Oryctolagus cuniculus: one gene and its partners. The protein of the gene in region 2 binds, or shares a complex with, the protein of the main gene of each other region. Links are inferred from orthologs where the notes say so. Each region holds a gene or a part of one and is shown on either strand. Other genes may lie near its edges.

Evidence for each region.
Region 1: WDR5 (region 2) and PHF20 share a complex: the UniProt entries of both Homo sapiens proteins name them as parts of the NSL complex. The link is inferred for Oryctolagus cuniculus from reciprocal best matches to the Homo sapiens genes WDR5 and PHF20.
Region 3: WDR5 (region 2) and KAT2A share a complex: the UniProt entries of both Homo sapiens proteins name them as parts of the ADA2A-containing complex. The link is inferred for Oryctolagus cuniculus from reciprocal best matches to the Homo sapiens genes WDR5 and KAT2A.
Region 4: WDR5 (region 2) and TADA3 share a complex: the UniProt entries of both Homo sapiens proteins name them as parts of the ADA2A-containing complex. The link is inferred for Oryctolagus cuniculus from reciprocal best matches to the Homo sapiens genes WDR5 and TADA3.
Region 5: WDR5 (region 2) and TADA2A share a complex: the UniProt entries of both Homo sapiens proteins name them as parts of the ADA2A-containing complex. The link is inferred for Oryctolagus cuniculus from reciprocal best matches to the Homo sapiens genes WDR5 and TADA2A.
Region 6: WDR5 (region 2) and KANSL2 share a complex: the UniProt entries of both Homo sapiens proteins name them as parts of the NSL complex. The link is inferred for Oryctolagus cuniculus from reciprocal best matches to the Homo sapiens genes WDR5 and KANSL2.
Region 7: WDR5 (region 2) and SGF29 share a complex: the UniProt entries of both Homo sapiens proteins name them as parts of the ADA2A-containing complex. The link is inferred for Oryctolagus cuniculus from reciprocal best matches to the Homo sapiens genes WDR5 and SGF29.

The regions. Positions count from the first base shown.
Region 1 is NC_091442.1:22,308,899-22,312,398, forward strand, and holds part of PHF20 (PHD finger protein 20), read right to left. Parts: intron 1,155-3,500; coding exon 761-1,154; intron 1-760. UniProt on the Homo sapiens protein: Methyllysine-binding protein, component of the MOF histone acetyltransferase protein complex.
Region 2 is NC_091432.1:235,840,181-235,842,558, reverse strand, and holds the end of WDR5 (WD repeat-containing protein 5), read right to left. Parts: coding exon 2,304-2,378; intron 1,858-2,303; coding exon 1,770-1,857; intron 1,465-1,769; coding exon 1,364-1,464; 3' UTR 501-1,363; downstream 1-500.
Region 3 is NC_091448.1:20,670,952-20,674,945, forward strand, and holds the start of KAT2A (histone acetyltransferase KAT2A), read left to right. Parts: upstream 1-1,194; 5' UTR 1,195-1,259; coding exon 1,260-1,598; intron 1,599-1,738; coding exon 1,739-1,862; intron 1,863-2,115; coding exon 2,116-2,261; intron 2,262-2,348; coding exon 2,349-2,438; intron 2,439-2,621; coding exon 2,622-2,803; intron 2,804-2,883; coding exon 2,884-3,075; intron 3,076-3,953; coding exon 3,954-3,994. Other genes in the region: HSPB9 (heat shock protein beta-9), read right to left, coding at 1-198. UniProt on the Homo sapiens protein: Protein lysine acyltransferase that can act as a acetyltransferase, glutaryltransferase, succinyltransferase or malonyltransferase, depending on the context.
Region 4 is NC_091441.1:116,925,846-116,929,345, forward strand, and holds part of TADA3 (transcriptional adapter 3), read left to right. Parts: intron 1-674; coding exon 675-925; intron 926-1,038; coding exon 1,039-1,144; intron 1,145-1,795; exon of another isoform or gene 1,796-2,430; coding exon 2,431-2,572; exon of another isoform or gene 2,573-2,657; coding exon 2,658-2,761; exon of another isoform or gene 2,762-3,500. UniProt on the Homo sapiens protein: Functions as a component of the PCAF complex. The PCAF complex is capable of efficiently acetylating histones in a nucleosomal context. The PCAF complex could be considered as the human version of the yeast SAGA complex.
Region 5 is NC_091448.1:38,178,675-38,182,174, reverse strand, and holds part of TADA2A (transcriptional adapter 2-alpha), read right to left. Parts: intron 1,886-3,500; coding exon 1,753-1,885; intron 1,258-1,752; coding exon 1,214-1,257; intron 1-1,213. UniProt on the Homo sapiens protein: Component of the ATAC complex, a complex with histone acetyltransferase activity on histones H3 and H4. Required for the function of some acidic activation domains, which activate transcription from a distant site. Binds double-stranded DNA.
Region 6 is NC_091442.1:52,169,477-52,172,976, forward strand, and holds part of KANSL2 (KAT8 regulatory NSL complex subunit 2), read right to left. Parts: intron 2,977-3,500; coding exon 2,810-2,976; intron 1,077-2,809; coding exon 980-1,076; intron 886-979; exon of another isoform or gene 749-885; intron 1-748. UniProt on the Homo sapiens protein: Non-catalytic component of the NSL histone acetyltransferase complex, a multiprotein complex that mediates histone H4 acetylation at 'Lys-5'- and 'Lys-8' (H4K5ac and H4K8ac) at transcription start sites and promotes transcription initiation.
Region 7 is NC_091450.1:7,527,553-7,531,052, forward strand, and holds part of SGF29 (SAGA-associated factor 29), read right to left. Parts: intron 3,458-3,500; coding exon 3,382-3,457; intron 2,833-3,381; coding exon 2,760-2,832; intron 1-2,759. UniProt on the Homo sapiens protein: Chromatin reader component of some histone acetyltransferase (HAT) SAGA-type complexes like the TFTC-HAT, ATAC or STAGA complexes.

The DNA of each region.
Region 1 (3,500 bases), on a different chromosome or scaffold from region 2:
TCTAGTCCCGGTCGGGGCACCAGATTCTGTCCCGGTTGCCCTTCTTCCAGGCCAGCTCTCTGCTATGACCCAGGAGTGCAGTGGATGATGGCCCAAGTACTTGGGCCCTGCACCCACATAGGAGACCAGGAGAACCACCTGGCTCCTGCCTTTGGATCAGCGCGGTGCGCTGGCCACGGCGGCCACTGGAGGGTGAACCAACGGCAAAAGGAAGCCCTTTCTCTCTGTCTCTCTCTCTCACTGTCCACTCTGCTTGTCAAAAAAAAAAAAAAAAAAAAAAAAAAAAAAAGTGGCTCTGGAGAAAACAGAGGAAATCTGCAAATATCTTAATAAAATGGACCCTTGTTATGACCAGGCTGCAAAGTTAAAAGAAAAGTAAGTCAGTCACACAACTATATTGAAAAAACCAGGCCTAACCAAACACCTGACTCACTGTCCACTAAGAATCAGCACCTAGGTGCAACTATGAAGGAAACGGAGTGTCCCCACCCTGGTTCCATTTCTGGAACTCCTGGCAGCTTCCCACCTCTCCACTCCCACCTCACCAACCACACCATTTTGTGGGTGTTTTCTGGAACCAACAATCGTTAGCTTAAGTGAGCTCTCTTGACTTTGCATTCATTTAATAGAAAACATGTGCATGTTAAACAGATTTAAATACGGTTTTCTGGCTGACTATCTTGCACAGAACAGGTAACCTACCAGGAGAAGACACAAGCACTCCAACACTGAGGAAGAACAAGTACGAGGAGCCACATACCTTTGGGGAGCTGGGTTTGGGGTCACTGTCGCCCCTGCTCCTGTCTTGGTCTAGAGGCCAGCCCAGACGAGGGGAGAGGGAGTCGTCGCCGTTCTCGTGGAGTGGGTTGACTGCATCGTCCAGGGCAGAGCCCCGCGTCTCCACCACCAGCTTCTGTTCCACAGCAGGGTAGTAGGCGCGGGGTTTCTGGTAGCAGTGCTCGCTGGTGATATACGACTCCTCCATGGAGCGGGGCAGGGGCTTCTCCACTGCCCCGTTCAAAGTTCTATAGCTGGGGGCCTCTTCCCTGCTCCTGGTGTCCACGATGCGGATGTGCGTGGACTGAACTCTCCCCTCCCCAGAGTGCTGTTTCCAAGGCTGGCACCACAGCTGCAGATCGGGGTGCTCCCTGCTTCTGTTGGGAGGGCAGACAGGGAAAGGCTTTTTGCTAACTGGCACGACGGCAGAGCTCCTCAGTTCCCACCTGGGCCAGCTGGTCAAAGCCCACCATTCGCTAAGCAAAAGGGAGAGCCAATCTCCAGGCTTAAAAATTTCTACTTTATGTAAACTCCAGCTTTTAACTCTTCTCTACCACTAAGAATCTTTACTACAACCTTAGATCATTAAACAAAAGGAAGATGGAAAGGAGGGAGGGTGGGCGGCAGGAGTGCCCTTCAGGCACAAGCAGGTGGACAGAGAGCTGTGATTCACATTTGGTTCATTTAGGAATGTCCTGAGGGGCCACTGCTGTGGCTTAGCGGGTAAAGCTGCTCCCTGCTCCTCATACAGGTGCCAGTTCAAGTTCCACCTACTCCACTTCCAATCCACCTTCTGCTAATGCCCTGGGGAAAGCAGCTGAAGACAGTCCAAGTGTTGGGCCCCTGCCACGCATGTGGGAGACCTGGAAAAAGCTCCTGGCTCTGGCTTGGCCTAATGCTGGCCATCATGACCATTTGGGGAGTGAATCAGCAGAAGGAAGATCTCTCTCGATCTCTATTTCTTTGTCTTTCCCTCTCTCTCTGACTTTCAAATAAATAAATAAATAAATCTTAAAAAAAAAAAAAAAAAGTAATGTACTGAGAAAATGCGGGGCCTTCCTGGTTGTCACAACCCTGAGGGGTGATACCAGCATTTAGTTCACAGAACCCAGGGACACTAAGAATCCTGTCATGTTCAGGCAACCCCATATGGAGAAGAACCATCCCAAGGCAGAACGGCCAACAGTGCCTTCGTGACCCCCAGAGATAAACACTGAAAGCAGCAGCTTGCTCGCCAGCAGCTCCTAGACAGAAGTACCCCTGCCTCTTAGCTGCAGAAATGCAACTGCCCATGAGCGCAAAGGCTGCAGCAACTTGGCATAACCCCAAGTTCTACTCCCCAGGTGTGCAGCTAGCCTTGCACGGCTCTCCCATTCCACTCCTACCCACAGAGGAAGGAGAAGAAGCAACTGGTACCAAGGCAGCCAGAGTCCCTGGGCCACCTCCAGGAAGGGTATCAGAGCCTGAACCCAGAGCCGAGACACACCTCTGTAATCAGAATGGTGCAGGAGAAATGGGGTTGTCTTGCTAACTTCTAGGGCCACTGCCATCTGAAATATGTTAACATGGAGCTCATGAGCCATAGTTCAGATCTGCTCTTTATACAAAAACTATAAGTCTTTGCCTCTTTTGTACTAGAGTTTTTGCCTTCCCAGCTACAACCTAGAATCCCAACTACTCTTCCTGACAAGGATGACCCTGACCACCCCTTGTTAGCCCTGTCAATCATGAAGAAAGTATGCATAGCTATCACTTTTAAAATGATACTCTGAAATGACTCCTAGTTTTATTGTTTGCCTGTGCACAAAACTGCACAAGGCCCCTTGGGAACAATATATCTGACAATGAAAACCCAGAGCCCGTGACTGCACAGACTATCCAGGGTACAAAGACACAACGGCCCCTGTCCCTTTTCCGGGAGCTTTCCTCCATGCATAATGATTAACAGGATCTCCCTATGCTCTCTTCTGAATTGCCATGAGTCTGATTTAATTCCAGTGCAAACAAAGTCACTTTTATAAAGATGAAGGCTTTAAACCAGGATTTAGAAAGACAAGGTTAGAGACTATGGTGCAGGGCCAGAGGCACTGGCATTTCAATGAGAGAGTACCATCTGAAGGAATCCTCAAAGGAAAAGAAACAGAGTTGACAAGCAGCCCCTCACAGGGACCACTGTCCACCTACTTCAGTCAATCTAGCACCTCATTAAGAACAGACTAGCTGGGTTCATACGGGGTAAAGTTTCCTATCTTACAAAATGTGAGGGAACAGCCAATCTCTGATACCCCACCTGGGGCTGTCAACAGATGCAGTTCACCTGAACAGATAATGGCAAAGCAACTGCTAACTGCCTTCCATATCCATCTTCCCCTCTTCCTCTCACACCCACCCCATTCCCCAGTTTGGGCAGGCCACAGCGCCACCCAGCCACCTGGCCAGCCTCCACTGCAGTCAGCTGTGTCTGTGAAACTGCTCGCCCTCCCCTTCTTTTCTCTTCCTCCTTCTTAGGTGCTGGGGCAGAGTCAAGGTTCAAGTTTCCTTCTATCATGCAGATCCCAAGACCACACAGAGCAATAAAAGGAAACCAAGTCCCCAAATCTCTGGAGAGAGGACTTCTACCTGGCCTAGACTTTCGCTTATCCCTCCACCATTCATTATGTGAGAAAGAAACTGCCATTTTGGTTGAGTCTCTGTTTTAGGGATCTTTGTTATAGCAGCTTAAC
Region 2 (2,378 bases):
CAGCTGCGGGGGGCGGGGGGCTCCCCGGCAACACGGGAGACACGGGCGCGGAGTGGGGCGGGCCCTGGCCACGTGGCGCTTGTGGCCCCGCGGGGACAGTGACCAGGCGCCCATGTCCATCTCCGGCTCCGGCCTGCCAGCGCTTGGGGCGAGCAGAGCGCATGGGTTCTCTCCGCCCCTCGGATTGTTCTAGAAACCGAAACCTGGTGGCCACACCGCGGCGCTCGGCTTCCTGCAGGGGTCCCTCCGGCTGCGGGGGCGCACCTCGGCCCGCCCACTCCCGCTGTCCATCATCAGCCGAGGTCTCCGCACACCAAGGACGTCCGGCGGGGCCGGGCCGGCAGGCGGAGGACGAAGCCGCAGGGCTGCTGCCCCCGACACCCCCAAGGGGACCCACGCGGGCCTGAGCACTGGGTGCAAGCCCCCCCCCCCGTGTCTGCCTAACTCTGCCTTCCAGGAAACAACCTCAAAAAGGAAAGAAGAATTCTTGTAGGACGAAATTACAAGACATGAAAATCTTTAATTTCAAAAAGAAATGTATTTTTACATAAATCTACAACAGAGAATTCAAATGTAGAAAAAATAAACTATATCCGGGACACGGCCACTCACAGCCCCCGAGGGAGCCGCGGCCACCAGAGCCGGAGTCCGGGTCCCGGGGACGCCCCGGCGCTGCGCCCAGCCCCCGCACCCACCTCTCCCGGCGCAGTCCCAGGCCCGGCAGCGGGGGCGGCCCCACTGCCTCTGCGGCCCCGCCCTGGGCGGCCCCCACCCACAGGAGCCGCGAGCTGCCTGGGCTGCAGCACGGCCTGGGGAGGGGTCCCGGGCGGTGCCCTGCGACACCGGAGCCCAGGAGCAGCGCGGGCCCGCGTCCTCGGGGAGACCCTTCGACTCCCGCCCCCGCCCCGCGCCGGCCGCGTCCCCAGGGAGCCCTCAAGGCCGCCCACGCCCAGGCCGGGCGCGGCTGCCCCAGGGGACGGAGCCCGGGGACGGAGCCCGGGGACGGAGCCCCAGGACGGAGCCCCAGGACGGAGCCCGGGGACGGAGCCCGGGGACGGAGCCCGGGACGGAGCCCCAGGACGGAGCCCCAGGACGGAGCCCCAGGACGGAGCCCCAGGACGGAGCGCGGGACGGAGCGGGGCGGCGGGAGTGGTCGCAGCAGGGGCGCTGGGCAACGAAAAACCAAGAAAGGTGCAGCACGTTTACGCAAAGACACAACTCACGAAACTGGACGTCACCCTCGAGACACACGAGAACTTTGTTGGCGCCGCGCGGGCACAGCGCGCGGGGGCGCCCCGCCCCGCCCCGGGTGGCCACGCCCGGCCACGCCCCGCCCCGGGTGGCCACGCCCCGGCCACGCCCCCTAGCAGTCGCTCTTCCACAGCTTGATGGTCTTGTCGTTCTCCAGCGCCGCCGAGGCGATGATGTTCTCGGTCGGGTGGCAGGCCGTGGAGATGACCACGTCTGCGGGCAAGGACGCGCTGTGGCCCGCGCTGGGGGCCCGCCCGCCCCGCTCCCCGCTCCCGGGGCCGGCCTTGCCCACCACGCCCCCCTCCCCGCGTGCCCAGGGCCCAGGGCCAGCCTCGCCCCTTGCCCGTGCCCAGGCTCCGGGCAGGGACGCCGACCCCGCCCCCGACCCCAGAGGAGCGCGGCCGCCTCGCAGCCCGGGACGTCCCAGGGCCCTGGCCCGGGCAAGGGTCGGGGTCTGCGGCGCCCCGGGGGCGCGAGGGGACCTGCACAAAGCCCGCCTCCGCCGGGCCGCGCCTCACCTGTGTGGCCCTGCAGCTTCTGCACGATCTCTTTCGTCTGCAGGTTCCAGATGTACACCAGGTTGTCCTCCGAGCCGGACACGATCCACTGGAGGGGAGCACACGCGTGCAGGTCAGAGCTCACGCGTGCAGAGGCCCCGCCCCGGCCCCCACACTCAGGATGCATGCAAGAACTTCCCGACTGTGCCACTTGGCAGTGTGGGCGCACACGCGTGTGCACGGGCCCTGTTAGGAGCGGGACACTAGACGGAGAAGCCCCGCCCCCGCAGCCAAGCTGCAGGCGCCCGGGCCACGCCCCCAGCCCGCCCCACCCACACCACCACTCTCAGGCAGGCTGGAGGTCCTCGGGCCACGCCCCCCAGGCCCGCCCCGCCCCACCCCCAGGCAGGGACGGCGCCCCAAGCCCACCCTGCCCACAGGGCCATATTCAGCCAGACTGGAGGCACCCGGGCACGCCCACGGGCCCGCTTGGCGCCTGCACCCAGCCGGGCAAACCCAGGAGGCCCAGGGCAGCCTGCAGCGAGCCGCACTGACCTTGCCGCCAGTCACGGAGAAGTTGGCAAATATACAGTATTTCTCGTTCTTGTGTCCCGTGTAGGTCTTCAGGCA
Region 3 (3,994 bases), on a different chromosome or scaffold from region 2:
CTCGGGGGCGAAGCCCTGCGCGTCCATCTTCATTTGGAAATCGTCTGCGGCCCGGCCATGGTCCTGCACAGCGGCCGGGTGGTCCCTCAGCAGCTGCACCGGCAGTGTGGCCACCTGATTGCGTTCAGCGAGGGCCACACTGGGACTCCTCGACGCCACCTGGTTCCCGTTGGAGAAACTGCTGCCGACCCGCTGCATCCAAGTGAGCAACTGCTCTTCAGGGGCACGAGGCTCCGAACGCAAGGCCCGAGCTCGGCCAGGCGTGTGGACTCCAAGGAAACGGGAGCGGGGTCCTCACGAGGCCCCGCGCGGCTCCCCCGGGTCGGGTTGGGTCGGGTCGGGTCAGGCGGGGGCAGCTCATTCCCTTTGACTTCCGCAAACTTCGGCTGGGTCCGGGGTCAGCTCTGCCCGTCCTGCCTCCAGGAGCGGGCTGTCAGTTGCTCAGGAGCACCCGCTATACTTTTACCCTGGCCCTGCCCTTTCTCCACCACGGCACAATGGAGCCACTGAAGAGGCTGGACGCCGGGAGCAGACACTCGGCAGCCACCGACCGGCCAGGGGCAGGGAAGCCCATTGCTGGCAGAGACAGCGGGCGGGGTCCTCCAGGTCCTCCATCGCGGCGTGCCCTGCTTCTCCCTGAGCACACGCACGAGGGAGGCGGGCACATCCCTCCCTGTCCTCGGGGTCTGGGGCCACAAAGATGATGGCGCGGGCATCCCGCGTCCCAGTGGTTTTCCTTGTCGCTGCTGCGACCACAGCCGCGCCCCTGGAACTCTGTGTTTTGATACTAAATTCTCTCCGTTGAAGGATAACAAAGTGCACAACGCAGTACAGGTGGATGGTACACAGCGCACGCCCGGGGTAGCCACCGAAGCTCAGAGCTTCGGCCACGTCTCAGCCCCTGTGCGGCTGCAGCCCCGCGTCTGGGCCTCACGGGATGGGGCCTCGGCCCCCGTGGGGGGCGCCTATTTCCTGGGATGCACCTCCCTGTCCCTAAGACGGCAGCAACCGGAGCCGTCCCGGACGCCTTCCAGATAAATTGGGAGCCAGGAAGTCTGGGGTGCTAGCTGGGGCTCCCCTTGGCTGCCTGGTACCAAGAGAAAGGACGGAAAAGTCTGGAAGCTGGAGGCCAGGGGCGCGGCGGTGGAAGACTACAACTCCCGTCGTGCGTCGGGCCTGTGGCGCCTGCGCACTGCGCACCGGTTGCCCATGCGGCCCTAGGGCTGGGAGCGCGGCGCCGCTCCGCTGCGGGGGAGGCCATGGCGGAACCTTCTCAGGCCCCGGCCCCAGTCCCGGCTGCGCAGCCCCGGCCCCTTCAGTCCCCAGCCCCTACCCCAACTCCTACTCCTGCGCCCAGCCCTGCTTCAGCCCCGACTCCGGCTCCCACTCCGGCACCAGCCCCCGCCCCGGCTGCAGCCCCAGCCGGGAGCACAGGGACTGGAGGGCCCGGGGTAGGAAGTGGGGGAACCGGCAGCGGGGGGGATCCGGCGCGACCTGGCCTGAGCCAGCAGCAGCGCGCCAGCCAGAGGAAGGCGCAAGTCCGGGGACTGCCGCGCGCCAAGAAGCTTGAGAAGCTAGGGGTCTTCTCCGCTTGCAAGGTGGGGGCGGGGCCTAGGGTGAAAGGGGCGGGGCTTGAGGGCATCCCTGGGCTCGGGTGGGAATGGGGGGCGACGCTCTGGACGCTTAGCGGCCCCTGCCCCTGGGGTGCGGGGGTCGTTGACTTATCTCCTGCCTCCAGGCCAATGAAACCTGCAAATGTAATGGCTGGAAAAACCCCAAGCCCCCTACTGCTCCCCGCATGGACCTGCAGCAGCCTGCTGCCAACCTGAGCGAGCTGTGCCGCAGCTGTGAGCACCCCTTGGGTAAGGCAGGCAGCGCCCTTGCAGGTGGTGGGCGCCAGGTGCTGGGGCCTGCTTGGACAGCCTGATTTCGCTGCCAGGAAACCTCGTCTCAGGACCTTAGGAGGTGTGGGGTTGGGGGCAGGCAGGCCGAGAGGGAGGAGAAAGGGAAAGTGCCAGCCGGGAAGATGCGGGGCCACCTTTGGAAGTCTTGGCTCCCTGCCGAGCAGGGCGTCCATGCCTCCCCACCCCGCGGCCCGGGCTGGCTGTCTTGCAGCTGACCACGTGTCCCACCTGGAGAATGTGTCAGAGGATGAGATCAACCGGCTGCTGGGGATGGTGGTGGATGTGGAGAATCTGTTCATGTCGGTGCACAAGGAGGAGGACACGGACACCAAACAGGTCTACTTCTACCTCTTCAAGGTGAGCTTCCGCGAACGGGCGTGAGTGGGGGGCAGGGGGGCTCTCAGTTCTGATGCTCCCTCCCTCCCTCCCTCCCTCTTCCTGCAGCTCCTGCGCAAATGCATCCTGCAGATGACCCGGCCTGTGGTGGAGGGGTCCCTGGGCAGCCCCCCGTTTGAGAAGCCTAATATTGAGCAGGTGGGGTGGGGCACGGGGAGCTGGGTCCTCCCTCCTGCTCTAGCTGAAAATCAGAGGGGATCAGCCGGGGGCGTGTGTTCTGTGCTGACTGCAGAGTGGGGTGGAGGAGGGGGGGCACTTTGTCACGAAGCTGGCTTCTTAGCCCTCCTCCCTGGATTTGTTCCCCACCCCACCCCTTCCCAGGGTGTGCTGAACTTCGTGCAGTACAAGTTTAGCCACCTGGCTCCCCGGGAGCGACAGACCATGTTCGAACTCTCCAAGATGTTCCTGCTTTGCCTTAACTACTGGAAGCTGGAGACGCCCGCCCAGTTCCGGCAAAGGTCCCAGTCGGAGGATGTGGCTACCTACAAGGTCAATTACACCAGGTAGGCCCTGCCCGGGCGGGGGCTGGGGGGGGATTTGTAGACCTCCCCATGTGCTCTCACCCTGCTGTCCCCACCCCCAGGTGGCTGTGTTACTGTCACGTGCCCCAGAGCTGCGACAGCCTGCCTCGCTACGAGACCACTCACGTGTTCGGGCGAAGCCTCCTCCGGTCCATTTTCACTGTTACCCGGCGGCAGCTGCTGGAGAAGTTCCGAGTGGAGAAAGACAAGCTGGTGCCGGAGAAGAGGACCCTCATCCTCACCCACTTCCCCAAGTAAGGCTCGTTCCGGCCCACTGCGAGTTTGCCCCAAGTTCACGTCCTCCCTGTTGTCCCCTTTTTTCCAGGAAGCCTTCCTGGATTGGTCCCTCCTCTCCCTCCATGGGCCTTCTGGGATCTGGGCGTCTACCTGGCAGACTTGCCCATGGCCCAGAAGCAGCTTGCTAGTAGTTGCCTTTGCACGGCCTAGTCTGGGGATGGCAGGTACATGGCCCCGGCTAACGCTGCCCCTCCCACACCCTGCTAGGCGTTACTAATTGTTTCCCATGGGGGCCTGGACCCAGCCTCAGAATCCCTCCCACCACAGAGCTCCAAGAAGCCAGCGCTGACACCTGAGGTGACAGCAGTGTCCGCCCCGCGCTAGTCCTTTCTGTGCCAGTGTCCCCCCGTGTGCCACACCTCTCTCCCATCTTAAGCCTGGCTCGTGACTTCTCTGTTCAGAGAGCCTTGGCTGTCAAATCCGGGCCCCTGAGTGCCCCTGCCACCAGGTGGGAACAGGAGGTGGTGAGTTGGGGTGGATTCCTAGTCATCTTGATGCTGCGGGGAGCAGGGGGACCCAGGGGGACGTGGTGCCCTGCCTGGCTACGGGGTTGGTATTTAGCTCGGGCCCTGTGGCCCTGTGCTGCCCGAGATGGCCAAACTGGGCCCCTTTGCTTGGTGTGTCCGAAGCTCTCACCTTGCATTCGAGGCTCCCGGGAGCCAGGGGGCCGTGCCTGCCCCTGTGGCCAGGGCTTCCCGCAGGGCAGAGCTTGCTCTCAGACGCGCCTCGCAGGGTCTGTCTCTGGCCACGGCACAGCCGCAGCCCCCCGGGGGCCCGGCCCAGGCCGCCTTTGGCGGGAGGGCGGAGTCGTGGACAGACGGCGCCCTCCCCCCAGGTTCCTGTCCATGCTGGAGGAGGAGATCTACGGGGCCAACT
Region 4 (3,500 bases), on a different chromosome or scaffold from region 2:
GTGAGAGACCCAGAAGTAGCTCCTGGCTTCTGTCTTTGGCCTAGCCAAGCTGCCAGTTGGGGAGTGAACCAACAGATGGAAGATTGTGTGTGTGTGTGTGTGTGTGTGTGTGTCAGACCACCTTTGAAGTAATATAATTTTTTTAAGATTTGTTATACATTTGAAAGAGTTACAGAGAGAGAGAGAAATCTTGCATCTGCTGGTTCACTCCCCAAATGGCCACAAAGGCCAGGGCTGGGCCAGGCCAAAGCCAGCAGCCAGGAGCTTCTTCCGGGTCTCCCACCTGGGTGCAGGGGCCCATGGACTTGGACCATCTTCCACTGCTAACCCAGGGGCATTAGCAGGGAGCTGGGTCAGAAGTGGAGCAGCTGGGACACAAACCAGTGCCCACATGGGATGCCGGTGCTGCAGGCAGCTGGTTTACCTGCTATGCCACAGCGCCAGCCCAGCAAAGAAAATGAATAAATCTTTTTTTTTTTTTTTAAGAGAGAAGTCAAATGAGATGGGCACAGAAACGTGGCCGAGTTTTGAAAGATGAGCAGAATTGCTCAGTTTGGGGATGAGGAGACCCCGGAGAGCCTCCTGGGGCTCAGGCTGCTGCTGTCCTCACAGGGGCAGAGCTGTCCTGTGTCTGCCCCCCACCCCCACCCTCACTGCCGGTCTCTGAATTTCAGATCCTCACTGACTGGCAGGACAAGAAAGGTGACCGACGGTTCCTCAAGCTGGGTCGAGACCACGAGCTGGGAGCTCCCCCCAAACACGGGAAGCCCAAGAAGCAGAAGCTGGAGGGAAAGGCGGGACACGGCCCCGGCCCCGGGCCCGGCCGGCCCAAATCCAAAAACCTTCAGCCCAAGATCCAAGAATACGAATTCACCGATGACCCAATCGACGTGCCACGGATCCCCAAGAATGATGCCCCCAACAGGTTCGGGGCCAGAGAGCGGGGGGGGGGGGTGCTCAGGCAGTGGAGGTGCTGGGCGCCCAGGGCAGGAGCTGGGGCGACCCCGGACCCCCACCCAGGATCTGCCTCTCCCACAGGTTCTGGGCCTCGGTGGAGCCCTACTGCGCTGACATCACCAGCGAGGAGGTGCGTACGCTGGAGGAGCTCCTAAAACCCCCTGAAGACGAAGCTGAACATTACAAGGTACACACTCTGGGCCTCCATAGACCCGGTGCAGAGCGAGAGAGCTCAGGGTGCCTCGGGTCCACGTTACTGCGCTCCGCCCACCCTGCCAGCCCCTGGGCGCCCCACGACCCCGGCAGGCACCCAGCTCCAGTGCTCAGCGGTGTCCCTGCGCCACCTTCCGGGACCCCAGCCGGATCTGCACTTCCTGCCCTGTGCCCTCACCTCCATCCCCTCCGCTCCGGCTCAGCACTGTGCTCCTGCCTCTTATTTCCACAGGGGCCTCTGTGTTTCTTTAGGACAAAAACCAGACATCAAACGTCGCCCGCTAAAGAGAATGCAGAGGCTTGGGGGTGGGGTGGGGAGGCTCCTGCAGAGGTTGCCTGTCACGAGCAGGTGTTTGTGACCTGGTCCTGCGCCCAGGCCTCCCCGGGCTCCCGTCAGGCACAGCGGCGACTTCAGGCGTCTGCCCCACTCCCCCTGCAGTCTGCTGAGCCACGACCCTCCTCAGCCTGTGTGCTCAGCCACCAGGCACACTGCCCTCCCTCCGGGCTCGCATAGGGTCCTCCGATCCCAAATGCCCATTCCCCGAGTGCCCCTTCCGATCGCCTAGCAGGAAGCAGGTCTCCCTGCGGCAGCTGCACACCTCGGTCGGCCCCTTACTTCACTCACCTGAGGGGCAGGCTGTGCTGTGGCAGACGGCATTCGGCAGATACGCGGCCCCTTGTCGGTTTGCTTCCAGTCCCAGCCCTTGTGCTTCCAGTCGGCCTCCTGCTGACACATGCGGGTAGGCAGCGGAAGTACCTGGGCCCTGCCAGCCACGTGCAAGACCTGGACGCACTTCCTCGCCTAGGCCTGGCCTGGCCGTTGCAGGCATTCTGCCTTTCAAATTGGTAAATAAACAAATCCTTTAAAAAAAAATGAAACAAATAAGCCAGGCAGTAGTAAATTCAATCAATGCAGAGGGCAATTTCCACACACCCCCCCAACCTTTAAAACCCCTGCTTCTCTGGAGCTAGCAGCCGTGACCTGACCGTCTCGCCCTGATGGATTTTTCCGGATTGTCTCCTCGTGTTTCACTTCTTTGTACGTCTGTGTGTCCTGCTCGAGCTGGAGTGTAGATCTTGCCTCCCTCGGCCCTTCTCATGGGACCCGGCACTGGCCTTGACCCTGTACCACAGGCGTGGGAGACGGACAAGCGAGTGCACAGCAACGCCAAGTGCACAGAGAGGCCCCTCCCCCAGGCACGGCCGGCTCGTCCGCCCCGCTCAGGGCCCCGCTCAGGGCCGGCTGCTGTCGCCCCGCAGATCCCGCCCCTGGGGAAGCACTACTCCCAGCGCTGGGCCCAGGAGGACCTGCTGGAGGAGCAGAAAGACGGGGCCCGGGCTGCAGCCGTGGCTGACAAGAAGAAAGGCCTCCTGGGGCCCCTGACCGAGCTGGACACTAAAGGTAGGCCCCTCACGTCCTCGCCCACAGCCGCCCCGAGCTGCGCCCCAGAACTCCGCCCTGCCCTTCTCTCCCCTGCCCACTGCAGACGTGGATGCCCTGCTGAAGAAGTCGGAGGCGCAGCACGAGCAGCCGGAAGACGGGTGCCCCTTTGGCGCGCTGACCCAGCGCCTGCTTCAGGCCCTGGTGGAGGTGAGCACCCCAGCCCCAGCGCCGGCCTCTGCCTTCTCCCCGACGTCTCCGTTCGTCTGTAGCACACGCTCAGACGTACACTGATCACGGCGCACCGCAGACGAGCGTCGGCTGCCGTCCTGGAGGTGGCCAGACGAGAGTTCATGTCCAAGAGGCTGCACTCGCCCCTGCCGGACCTGCGCTCCCCTAGAGGCAGCCGCTGTGCCACTTCCCGTCGCTAGGTCTTGGCTGAGGTTTTCCCACGCCTGTCCCCAGAGGAGGCCAGGAGAGTGGGGAGCCTGGGAGGGGCTGCTGGCTGGAGGTCCCCCAGAGGTAGACCCCGCTTCCTGAGCTGTGCTGTGACGTCCCTGGCCGGCCTCAGCCGGCTCCTGAGGCTGACACGCGCTAGTTCATTTCTCTCCTGTAGCAGCCTGGGGCACACGCTGCAGGTGCACTAAGGTGGGGTACAAGAAGGCTTCCTCACGCCATCAGACAGGCCCCCCACGGATGGTAACCGTGTCCCCTGCACAGGGTCGCCGAGGGCCCCCCAGAAAGGAGCAGAGAGGAGTGTGTAAAGGGGCTCTCTGGGCCACGACCAGCTGTGGCTCTCTGAATCTCTCCCTGGCTGCGGGGGAGGCTGGGAGGTGCAGTGTGGCTGGGCAGGCCCCCGAGCAGCACTGGGGAGGAAGGGAGAGCCTGGGCTCGGACAGCGGCAGCCTGTGCCGCGTCCTCCACAGCGCGCTTCTGTAAACCCCCCATT
Region 5 (3,500 bases), on a different chromosome or scaffold from region 2:
ATGGCCAATCTAGCATATGGAGCAGGGGCAGATGACCACCAAGAGAACGTGCAAAGCACTCTAAGGGGCCAGTGTTGTGGTGAAGTGGGGAAGCCTGCTGCCTGTGATGCTAGCATCCCGTCCGAGCACTGGTTTGTGTCCTGGTTGCTCCACTTCCAATCCAGCTCAATGCTAATGGTCTGGGAAAAGCAGCAGCAGATGGCTCACATGTCTGGGCCCCTGCCACCTAGATGGGAGACCTGGCTGAAGTTCTTGGTTCTGGCCATCAGAGTGAACCAGCAGATGGAAGATCTCTAACTCTGCCTTTCAAATAAATAAATAAATCCTAAATAAACAAACAAGTGGTCAATGATCTTGGGTCAGAATTTTATAACTATAATCTTTCCAAATTCCTAGTCATTGATCACTACACACCAAGATCATCAGATAGCAGCCAGCTGAATCCTGCTCTACAAACTTATTTCAAAATAGGACATACCCAGCGAGGTAAAGCAAAGAAACAGAAAAACCTTAAGCTTCTTATTTATAAAGAAATCCTCGGCAGGCGCTGCAGCTCACTAGGCTAATCCTCCGCCTGCGGCACCGGCACCCCGGTTCCAGTCCCGGTCGGGGCGCCGGATTCTGTCCCTGTTGCCCCTCTTCCAGGCCAGCTCTCTGCTGTGGCCAGGGAGTGCAGTGGAGGATGGCCCAAGTGCTGGGGTTCTGCACCCCATGGGAGACCAGGAGGAAGCACCTGACTCCTGGCTTCGGATTGGTGCAGCACTGGCCATAGGGGGTGAACCAACGGAAGAAGGAAGACCTTTCCCTGTGTCTCTCTCTCCTCTCTAACTCTGCGTGTCAAAAAAAGAAAAGAAATCCTCAAGTTTCTGGCAAGTAACACAGTTTGTTTGCTCATACTGGATACAAACCTTTGATCTCCTGCAAGACAAATCTCCAGAGTGTGTGGCAGATACAAGTGCCATAAACTGACTGCCCGCTGACACTGGTAAAATAAGGAAGCTACCTTCTCTACTGTTCTTCCTTCCTCTGTCTCTGTCCTCTCACCCTGAGGACACTCCTTTCTGCCCAGGGAAGGTTCCAGAAACCTGCAGATGTTTACAAACTGGACTTGCCTGAGTGCCTTGGTCTACACTGGGTGGGATTTTGGGGTCATCATCACCCCCATAATGCAGACTTTACCATCAAGACTATTTCCAGCCTGAGAAATAATTACCTGAATTTGAAGCCATTGGAACAGAAGGACTCAGGCCGGAATCACTGTAGTGAGGAAGAGGAATTTAGACTCAGGTCAAAAGACAACTTCCAAAGTCCCTATGGGGTTGGGGACCATTCCTCAGGTGGGTCACTCTGAAGACATCATGTTTTCCAGGGTATCTCACTACACTGACCGGGAAGGAAAATCTGTTCTGAGGGAAAATAAAAGGAGCCCTGGATTTGTTGAGAGCTCTTACCCCTGGAACGCCACTGATATCGTCACGGGGAAGGGTTAGCAGGACGATTCTCAATGGGAATCACACCATGGATATCCAGGCGGAGAGGGCCCAGGTGGGAGGCTAGGGAAACCCACTCATTTTTAAAAGTAAGAGCAACGTAGCAAGGGGGAATCCCAGGAAGCCAGCTCTACTTCTCAGAACTGTTAGGACTGCCCTGTTTCTGAGGGGACTGCAGTCATCTGCATGCAGGGTGCCCGAGAGGGGCTCCACAGCACCGGTGCGCTCACAGCACCAGGGAGGAGCTCACAGCACTGCTCACATGTCGGCTTGCCGGCGGAGCCACTGCTGGCATGCCCCGCTGTCCTGGATGTACTGCAGAACCTCGGAGAGCATGGTGCGTTTCAGACGCTCCTCCTCTCGTGTCTTCTTCAAGTGATCGTAGGTCCTGGCACCTGAAGGCATAGAAAATACGATGACCACAATGACAATGCAGCAGAGCTACGGGGATTCCTGTTTGGCTTTTCTTGGTTTTCTTTGCAAAACTGCTTTCACAGCTATTTTTCCAAGAGCAAAAGCAGGGTTCTCCTAGTCTGAAATCCCTTTGTTGATACTAACTGAAATATTTTTATTCCTGTTCTACCTTTACGAAATTTGGAGGAGAGGAGGGAACCAGAAAAGCACAAATAATACTCATATTTCCACTTTAAAAAAGCAATTTGACTACTGTCATATTTGCTTTCTGGGTTTTTTAATTCATATCTATTTCAAAGTCACAAGGGCCATAAGCATAAGCTGTTCCTTCAGAACCAATCAGAATTAAACAAAAGTGCCCACTCACCACTTTCTATCCCATACTTGCCAGAGGCCACCAGCAGAAGGTAACTGAAATTCAGCATCCATCTCTACATGCACCTAAGAGTTGTGGGATGCTTTCTCCACATTCACAAAGGTCACCGTAACAACGGGTTTCCAACCGTGTCACACAGAGCCTCAGGACACTACGAGGTGACTTTGAAGAGCAAAGTCAGTGCCAAATATTGGGAGTCCTGGGCTCCATTCATAAGTGGCACATCAAATGTCAACCAAAGTAATTCCACTTATGACCTATTTGTAGTTTGTAGCTTCACATAAAATTTCACTTCAAACATGGTTTCCACTGTTAAAAGGAAAGAATTGTTGAACTTACACCCACAGGGCTATGTTAAGAAACACAGCTACTTCTTGTGGGTAGTAGATGATAGCTTTCAAGTCTCAGACTTCAAACAGGAAGAGGGAGTGAATGCTCAAGATCATTCCTACAATAATAGCAGAACAACAGAAATTGCCATTTATGGGGGATTTCTGTGTGCCAGGCACTGAGCCACATTTTTACACTACCTCTAACTTAATCTTCACACCAACTTGAGACTTGGGAAATTGAAACTTGAACAGAATCACAGAGCTAGTAAAGAGGAGAGTCCAAGTGTAGCCCTCTAGCCTCAAAGTACTGTAGTAACACATGGCCTTCCCTGATGAACTGGCTCTAACATTTACTTGCTCTTTAATCTCTTCAAGCCTTCGTTTCTTCAATAAATGGAAATAACAGTACCTCATGAGTTGGTCATAAGAGTTCCAAGACATAATCCAGGTGAAATGCCTAGCATAGGGCCTGGTGCACAGTAAACATTTGACAGATGTTAGCTGCTACTAATACAATTACTCCTATTACTTCAAGTAACTGGAATGCAAGTACCAGAGCCATCCAAAGCTTGGTTAATAAAACTTTGTTAATACACTTAGAAAGGCTGGGGCTAAAACCTAGAATATAAAACTCTTTTTTATTAGGAACCATGGCAGAATCCTAAATCTAAAGCAACATCTCTTTTCTTTATATCATGACTGTTATTCTACTTCAGATAACCAAATAATGGTGCTTATATGGATAAAATGGGATGAAAGTTTACTGGAAAGATTGAAAACTCATTCTGAAAAAGAAAAGCCTGTTTTAAAGGAAGTATCACAATACCTCAGACACTTCCTGGATGCGTCTGGAAGACACTTGCTCTCTGATACACCATGTGATCGAAA
Region 6 (3,500 bases), on a different chromosome or scaffold from region 2:
ATGTACTTTCGGGGCCGGCCGTGGCTCACATGGCTAATCCTCCGCCTGCAGCGCCAACATCCCATATGGGCACCGGGTTCTAGTCCCGGTTGCTCCTCTTCCAGTCCAGCTCTCTGCTGTGGCCCAAGCAGTGGAGGATGGCCCAAGTGCTTGGGCCCTTGCACCCACATGGGAGACCAGGAAGAAGCACCTGGCTCCTGGCTTCGGATTGGTGCAGCGCCGGCCGTGGCGGCCATTTGGGGAGTGAACCAACAGAAGGAAGACCTTTCTGTCTGTCTCTCTCATTGTCTGTAACTCTACCTGTCTAATAATAAAAAAAAAGACTATTTTAAAAAAATATGTATTTTCACAATAAACAATTCAAAAAGTTTTGCAGCCCAATGATAAATACAGTTCTAGAGTAGAATCAAGAGATGTTATGGGCAGTTCAAAGGCAAGTTAAATTTACGAAGAAAAAACAGCATCTTATTTTTTGAACCATTGTTACTAATTTGAATGAAGTTTAAAATACATAAGAGTCTTGATCATACAAATTTATAATAATGGAAGTTCACAATGCAATATCAACATCATCATTTTGTTTTGGGTAGAAAACCCACCATTCACATTTTTTTGCTAATCATAATTTTACAGCATTATAATCTGATGAACAAGTTAAATCAAGAATCCAAAGATAAATACAAATATTTTAGAATCCCAGTACAACGACTAAAAATAAATATTAGCCCACATCTATCACCAACAACTCCATTGTTTCTTCCCAATGAATTGACCATTACATTTCAGAAGTTCTGAAATGGTCAACAGACCATAGAAAGACATTTCTTTAGGCTCCTGCTTGAAACCAACAGCTTCAGCACACTGCTGGTCTTGATTCAGGGCCAAAGTAAACAAGGAGCTTCAATTAAACAAGCCAGCAGATTCCCACTAGCTCTCAGTCTAGCAAGCAAATCACAGCCTGAACACAGTAAAAGGATACGAGTAAGGCAGTGTCTGGTCATAGGAAGAGACTGATTGGAACAGCGAACATCATCCACAAAGGCCAAACACCTCTGACTAGAACGAGTGGTATGCGCCTAAAATGGAAAAATTAGATAAACTCTTCAAAGAACATACAACCAATTATGATGAAAAGAATTATAAAGTACATCTTCACAGGGTAGAAAATTCAACATCTAATAAATGAATACACCAATATTACACATAAGAAAAAATGCAGAGGGTGGGCATTTGACATAGCAATTAAGACACCTTTTGCGTTTCCCACACCCCACACTGCAGTGCCCAGGTTTGTATCCCCCACTCTGCTTCCAATTCCAGCTTTCTGCTAATCTGCACCCTGGGAGGTAGCAGGTGATGGCTTAAGTGTTTAGGTCCCCCAAGCCCACATGGGAGATTCAGAAAGAGGTTTGGGCTCTTGGCTTCGGCCTTACCCAGCCCAGGCTGTTCAAACCATTTGGAGAGTGAACACCAGCAGATGGGAGATATCTGTCTTGCAAATAAAATCAAAAATAAAATTTTTTTAAAAAATAACAAATTCAAGAATGATCACGGGCCAGCGCCGCAGCTCACTAGGCTAATCCTCTGCCTGCGATGCCAGCATCCCAGGTTCTAGTCCCAGTTGGGGCGCCGGATTCTGTCCCGGTTGCTCCTCTTCCAGTCTAGCTCTCTGCTGTGGCCTGGGAAGGCAGTGGAGGATGGCCCAAGTGCTTGGGCCCTGCACCCGCATGGGAGACCAGGAGGAAGCACCTGGCTCCTGGTTTCAGATTGGTGCAGCACACCAGCTGTAGCGGCCATTTGGGGCTGAACCAACAGAAGGAAGACCTTTCTCTCTGTCTCTCTCTGTCTATAACTCTCTCTCTCTCTCACTGTGTAACTCTGCCTGGCAAAAAGAAAAAAAAAATGATCATGGGCCCAGCACTGTAGCACATCTACCCGCTGTAGCACAGTGGGTAAAACTGCCCCATTCAGTGCCAGCATCCCATATGAGCACCAGTTTGAGTCCCAGCTGCTCCACTTCCAATTCAGCTCCCTGCTAATGCACCTGGGAAAGCAGAAGATGGCTCAAGTCCTTGGGCCCCTGCACCCACATGGGAGACCTGGAAGAAGCTCCTGGCTCTTGACTTTGGACTGGCTCAGCTCCGGCCATTGCAGCTATTTGGGGAGTGAACGAATGGATGGAAGACCTGTCTTCTCTTTCTCTAACTCTGGTTTTCAAATAAGTAAATAAATCTTAAAAAAAAAAAAAATCACTTCTTATAAACCTAACTTCCTTACATTCAACTGCTTCTGTTCTATTTTCCCACTCTTTATAACAAGATTGTCAAGCAAGTTAGGCTTAACCTATGCTTACTTCTGAACTGAAGATTAGAGATCTATCCCAAATAATAAATCTGCAGATAAGTTAAGCTATTATGTGATCACAGGAGTAGTCAGAAGGGGACTAAGATTGGAACCCATGTCTCCTGACATCTTGGTTAGGTGCCTTCATTACAATCTAAGTCTAGTGAGTGAGATTACAGAGCCAGGATTGGATATAGTATTTTGACAACACTCCAAACTTCATAAATAAAGGGGCTATATATATACCTTAAAGCAGGAATATGGAATACTTGGCCGCTAAATAGCACCCACTAAATCATTTGGTCTGGCCTTGTCAAGGCAACTATATGTGGGACTCAAAATTGAGTAAACCTACAGCAGACTTAATTTTTAACTGGATAATTTTGGATGGCCCACAAATGACGTTATAAATACCAAAATGGCCCTTGACAGAAAAAAAGGTTCCCCCACCCCTACGTAAAATCACCTGTTGAGCGGCCCCATCTGTGGCTAGCATTCTGCGTTCCTTCAGCTGCCTGTGTAGTAACGCTTCGACTCCATAGCGCTGGCGATACCGCCGCAGACATTTTAATCGTTTCAAATTCTCACGTTCTTTGGCCAAAAGTCCCTCTGGGCCAGTCAGGAGACTACCACCTGGGAAGTCCCAAGAGTCAAGATGTTATTTGCCAAGCAATCCACAAAGGATATGTCTGCTAATCAACAAGAAAAGAGGAAAATCTTGGGACCAGTGCTGTGGCACTGCTATCTGCAGTCCATATGGGCACCAGCATGAGTGCCAGCTGTTCCACTTCTGATCCAGCTCGCTGCTGATGTGCCTGGGAAAGTAGCAGAGGATGAAGCAAGTGCTTGGGCCCCTGCACCCATGTGGGAGACCAGGAAGAAGCTCCTGGCTCCTGGTTTTGGCTTGACCCAGCCCTGGTCATTGCAGCCATCTGGGGAGTCAAACAGCAGACAAAAGATCTTTCTCCCTCTCTCTGTAATCTTTCAAACAATAAATAAATCTCTTTAAAAAAAAAAAAAGAGAGAGAGAGAGAAAGAGAGAGAGAGAGAGAGAGAGAGAGAGAGAAATGGCTATAAGATAAGCAATCCCAAAAGCAAATTCTCCCCCACTGCAGGTACTAAGACAGAAATAAATCTAATTACTACCAAATCCAAAT
Region 7 (3,500 bases), on a different chromosome or scaffold from region 2:
TTTAGGGGCCAGTGTTGTGGGTAAAGCTGCAGCCTGCAATGCTGGCATCCCATAGGGTGCTGGTTCAAGTCCCTGCTGATGTACCTGGGAAAGCAGTGGATAGCTCAAGTGCTTGGGCCCCTGTACCCAAGTGGGAGATCTGGAAGAAGCTCCTGCCTTCGGCCTGGCCCAGCCCTGGCTGTTAAAGCCACCTGGGAAGTAAACCAGTGGATGGAGATCTCTTTCTCTGAAACTGCCTTTCAAATTTAAAAAAACAAACAAGCAAGCAAAAAAAAAAAAAAAAAAAAAAAAGGCTTTTGCTATTTGCTACAAGGAATATCAGTGAACAATGAAAACTGAGTAAAATATGGGGGCTGGTGCTGTGGCGCAGTGGGTTAACACCCTGGCCTGAAGTGCTGGCATCCCATATGGGCGCCGGTTTTAGTCCCGGCTGCACCTCTTGCTATCCAGTTCTCTGCTGTGGCCTGGGAAAGCAGTGGAAGATGGCCCAAGTCCTTGGGCCCCTGCACCCACATGGGAGACCCGGAAGAAGCTCCTGGCTCCTGATCAACGCAGCTCTGGCCGTTGCAGCCTTCTGGGGAGTGAACCAGTGGATGGAGGACCTCGCTCTCTGGCTCTCCTTCTCTATGTAACTCCGACTTTCAAATAAATAAATAAAAATCTTAAAAAAACTGAGTAAAATATGTAGTTAACCCGGCCACAACTGTGCACCCACCTGCCAATCAGACTAACTGACCACTCCCCTTTGGAAGTGGATTAAAGGCTTGGGACATGGTGGGCCCTTTCCCCCTTTTTCATCGTTGTGGACCTGTGCTGCCCCCGCGCCTCGGGGCCCCCGCCCCATGCTTTCTGGGCTGCGTGCTCCTCCACGCTGGCTCCTGGTGCTTGGTCTGAATCCAGAGTACCCTCTCGCTTTTAGATAGAGCCCTGCTCTCCTATGCATTTCTCTCACTAAATATTAAAAACCTTAAAACTTAAAAAAAAAAAAAAAGAAAGATGAAAGATATGTAGTTAATAGTTTCATGTTAGTGTTAATGTCCTGGTTTTTTAAAAAAATACTATTTGATAGGCAGAGTGATAGGGATACCTTCCATCTGCTGGTTCACTCCCCAAATTTCTGCACCACCAGGAGCCTGCAACTCCATCTGGGGCTCCCATGTAGGTGGCAGAGGCCCGGACACTCGGGCAGTCATCCACTGCTTTCCCAGACACGTGAGTGGGGCGCTGGCAGCCAGGACTCCGTCTGGCGCTCTGACCGGGGATACCAGCATCACAAATGACTGCTCAGCTCACTGTGCCAGTGATGTTGACAACCGAACTCTGGCTACACAAGGATGCCTTTATTTTTAGGAAACACTGACTGAAGAACCCGAGATCAAGGGACATCATGTAACTCATTCAAAAAAATAATGCACGTTTGTAGAGTGCATGAAAAAGCGAATGGGGCATGTGTTGGGTGCGGCAGTTAAGCCACCACCTGGGACACCTCACCCTGGGTGGGACGACCTGGAGCCTGGGCTCCACTTTCAATTCCAGCTTCCTGTTACCGCAAACCCTGGGTTCGGCAGTGAGGGCTCAGGTAGTTGGGTCCCTGCCACCCATGTGGGAGACCTGGGTTAAGTTGCCAGCTCCTGGCTTTGGCTTGGCCCACCCCTGGCTGTTGCAGACGTTTCTGGCAAGTGAACGAGTGGATGGAAATTGCTCCCTGTCGCTGTCCTTCTCTCTCTGCCTTTCAAGTCAAAGCAGGTTATAAAAATTTAAAAGTCAATGTGGTAGAACACTGCTTTTATGAGTCTGAAATCATTTCAAAATAAAGAAGTTACATCAATAACAGTCTCCATTAAACCACAAAGGCACCTGTACGTCTGTGTTTCACTGCCAAGCAAGGTCCTGAAACAGAGTTAAATGAAACTGTTTCTGCAGAACTTATCAGAGCCTGTCACCGGCCTTGTGGGCCTCCAGCAGTGCCACGTCCCACTCCCTGGAACGCTGCAGCTCCACTGCGCGCAACCGTCTTCCTCTCACAACCACTAAGGTGCTGGGCAATCTAGAATGACCTCCCGCTCTGACCCTCAGGGGAGGTCCCCCCCACCCCCCAGGAGGCCCACTGCACCTGCCCGGGCCATTGAGGGTGGACTTCCAGGACCAGCCCTGGTGTGTAGCATGGCCCAAGCTCCAACCATCCCCTCCCCTGATCACTACTAAGGGACTAACTCTGGTGTGGGCTCTTTAAAACGATCCCAAACTATACAAACTCGTAGCCTCACTATTTGATTAGGATGACCTTTTAGAAAGTACAAAATTAAAAAAAATCCCTCTGGGACTTTCTGGGTTGCTGTGAGGGCTGGAGCTGCGCTTGCTGAGCCACCAGGGTGCTGCCCAGGGCCTGGGCCCCACCTCTCTCCCGCGCCATCTGGAACGGGAGGAGCAGGCAGCAGCGCTGTGGGCTCCCAGGGGCTCGGGAAAGCACCAGCAGCCCAGCAAGGCCGGGTGGGAGCGAACACTGCTGGGACAATGGGGCGTCTCCCTCTTCCTCAAGAGCGCTGGCGTCAGGCCACACCTGCCTGGCCCACATGACGCTCACGACCCTGGAGGTAGCCGTGCGGCCTCTGCTCGTGGTGGGCACTGAGTTTGGGCTGAGGAGATGGCCCCGGAGCAGCTCAGCGCCCATCTGGGAAGCAGGACTCCGGGGGCGAGGGGGGCTTAGGAGGCACTGTGGGGAAGGCGGGAGTCCCGCGAGGCCAGCAGGCTGTACTCACTTGCACTCGGCCTCCGCGTCGGCCTTGGCGGTCGTGTAAAGGCCCCGCAGCTTGGTCCGGTAGTAGGGAGAAACTGTGGACACAGTGACGGGGTGGAGGCGTGCGCAAGCGGCTGGCACTGCTGCAGGGCCACCAGGCTCAGACCTGGGACATCCAGAGAGGCCGGGCCCCACGCCCCCGCACCACGCGCCCAGCAGTGGTCACGTTCAAGACCACGTTTCCATAGGGCCAGAAGCCATCACCACATCCAGGGGAGCACTTCTAGCTCCCACGTCTCGTGACACACAGCAGAAAATACACGCAGGAGGCAGCGTGCACAAAACCAGGCGACTCGTGGGGACCCCTCCCCAGGAGGCCCCCACCCCCAGAGGGCGCCGGCTTTCCCAGCGACAGCGACAGCGACAGCTTCCCTGGCTGCAGCCTCATCTCCCTGACCTCCCATCCCCGCAGTGGAGGGATCTGTCGGTTCTTTTGTGAACTGTCGCCACCCCCGGGTCACCCAGCCTAAGGGAACACCGTCCCTGCAGCCCGGGGCACAGCTCGCTGTGGACCCCGCAGACAGAGGCAGAAGCCCCCTCCAGGGCCGCCGCAGCCATGTTCTCGGTGCACGCCCAGGACTCACTCTTGTTCTCCGTCTGCATCCGCTCGTGGGTCTTCTGGATGTTCACTAAGTTGTGTTCACTCCTCGAGCGCTCTTCCTGTGAGGACGGGGCAGCAGGACGTGGGCGGGCTTCACCGTGT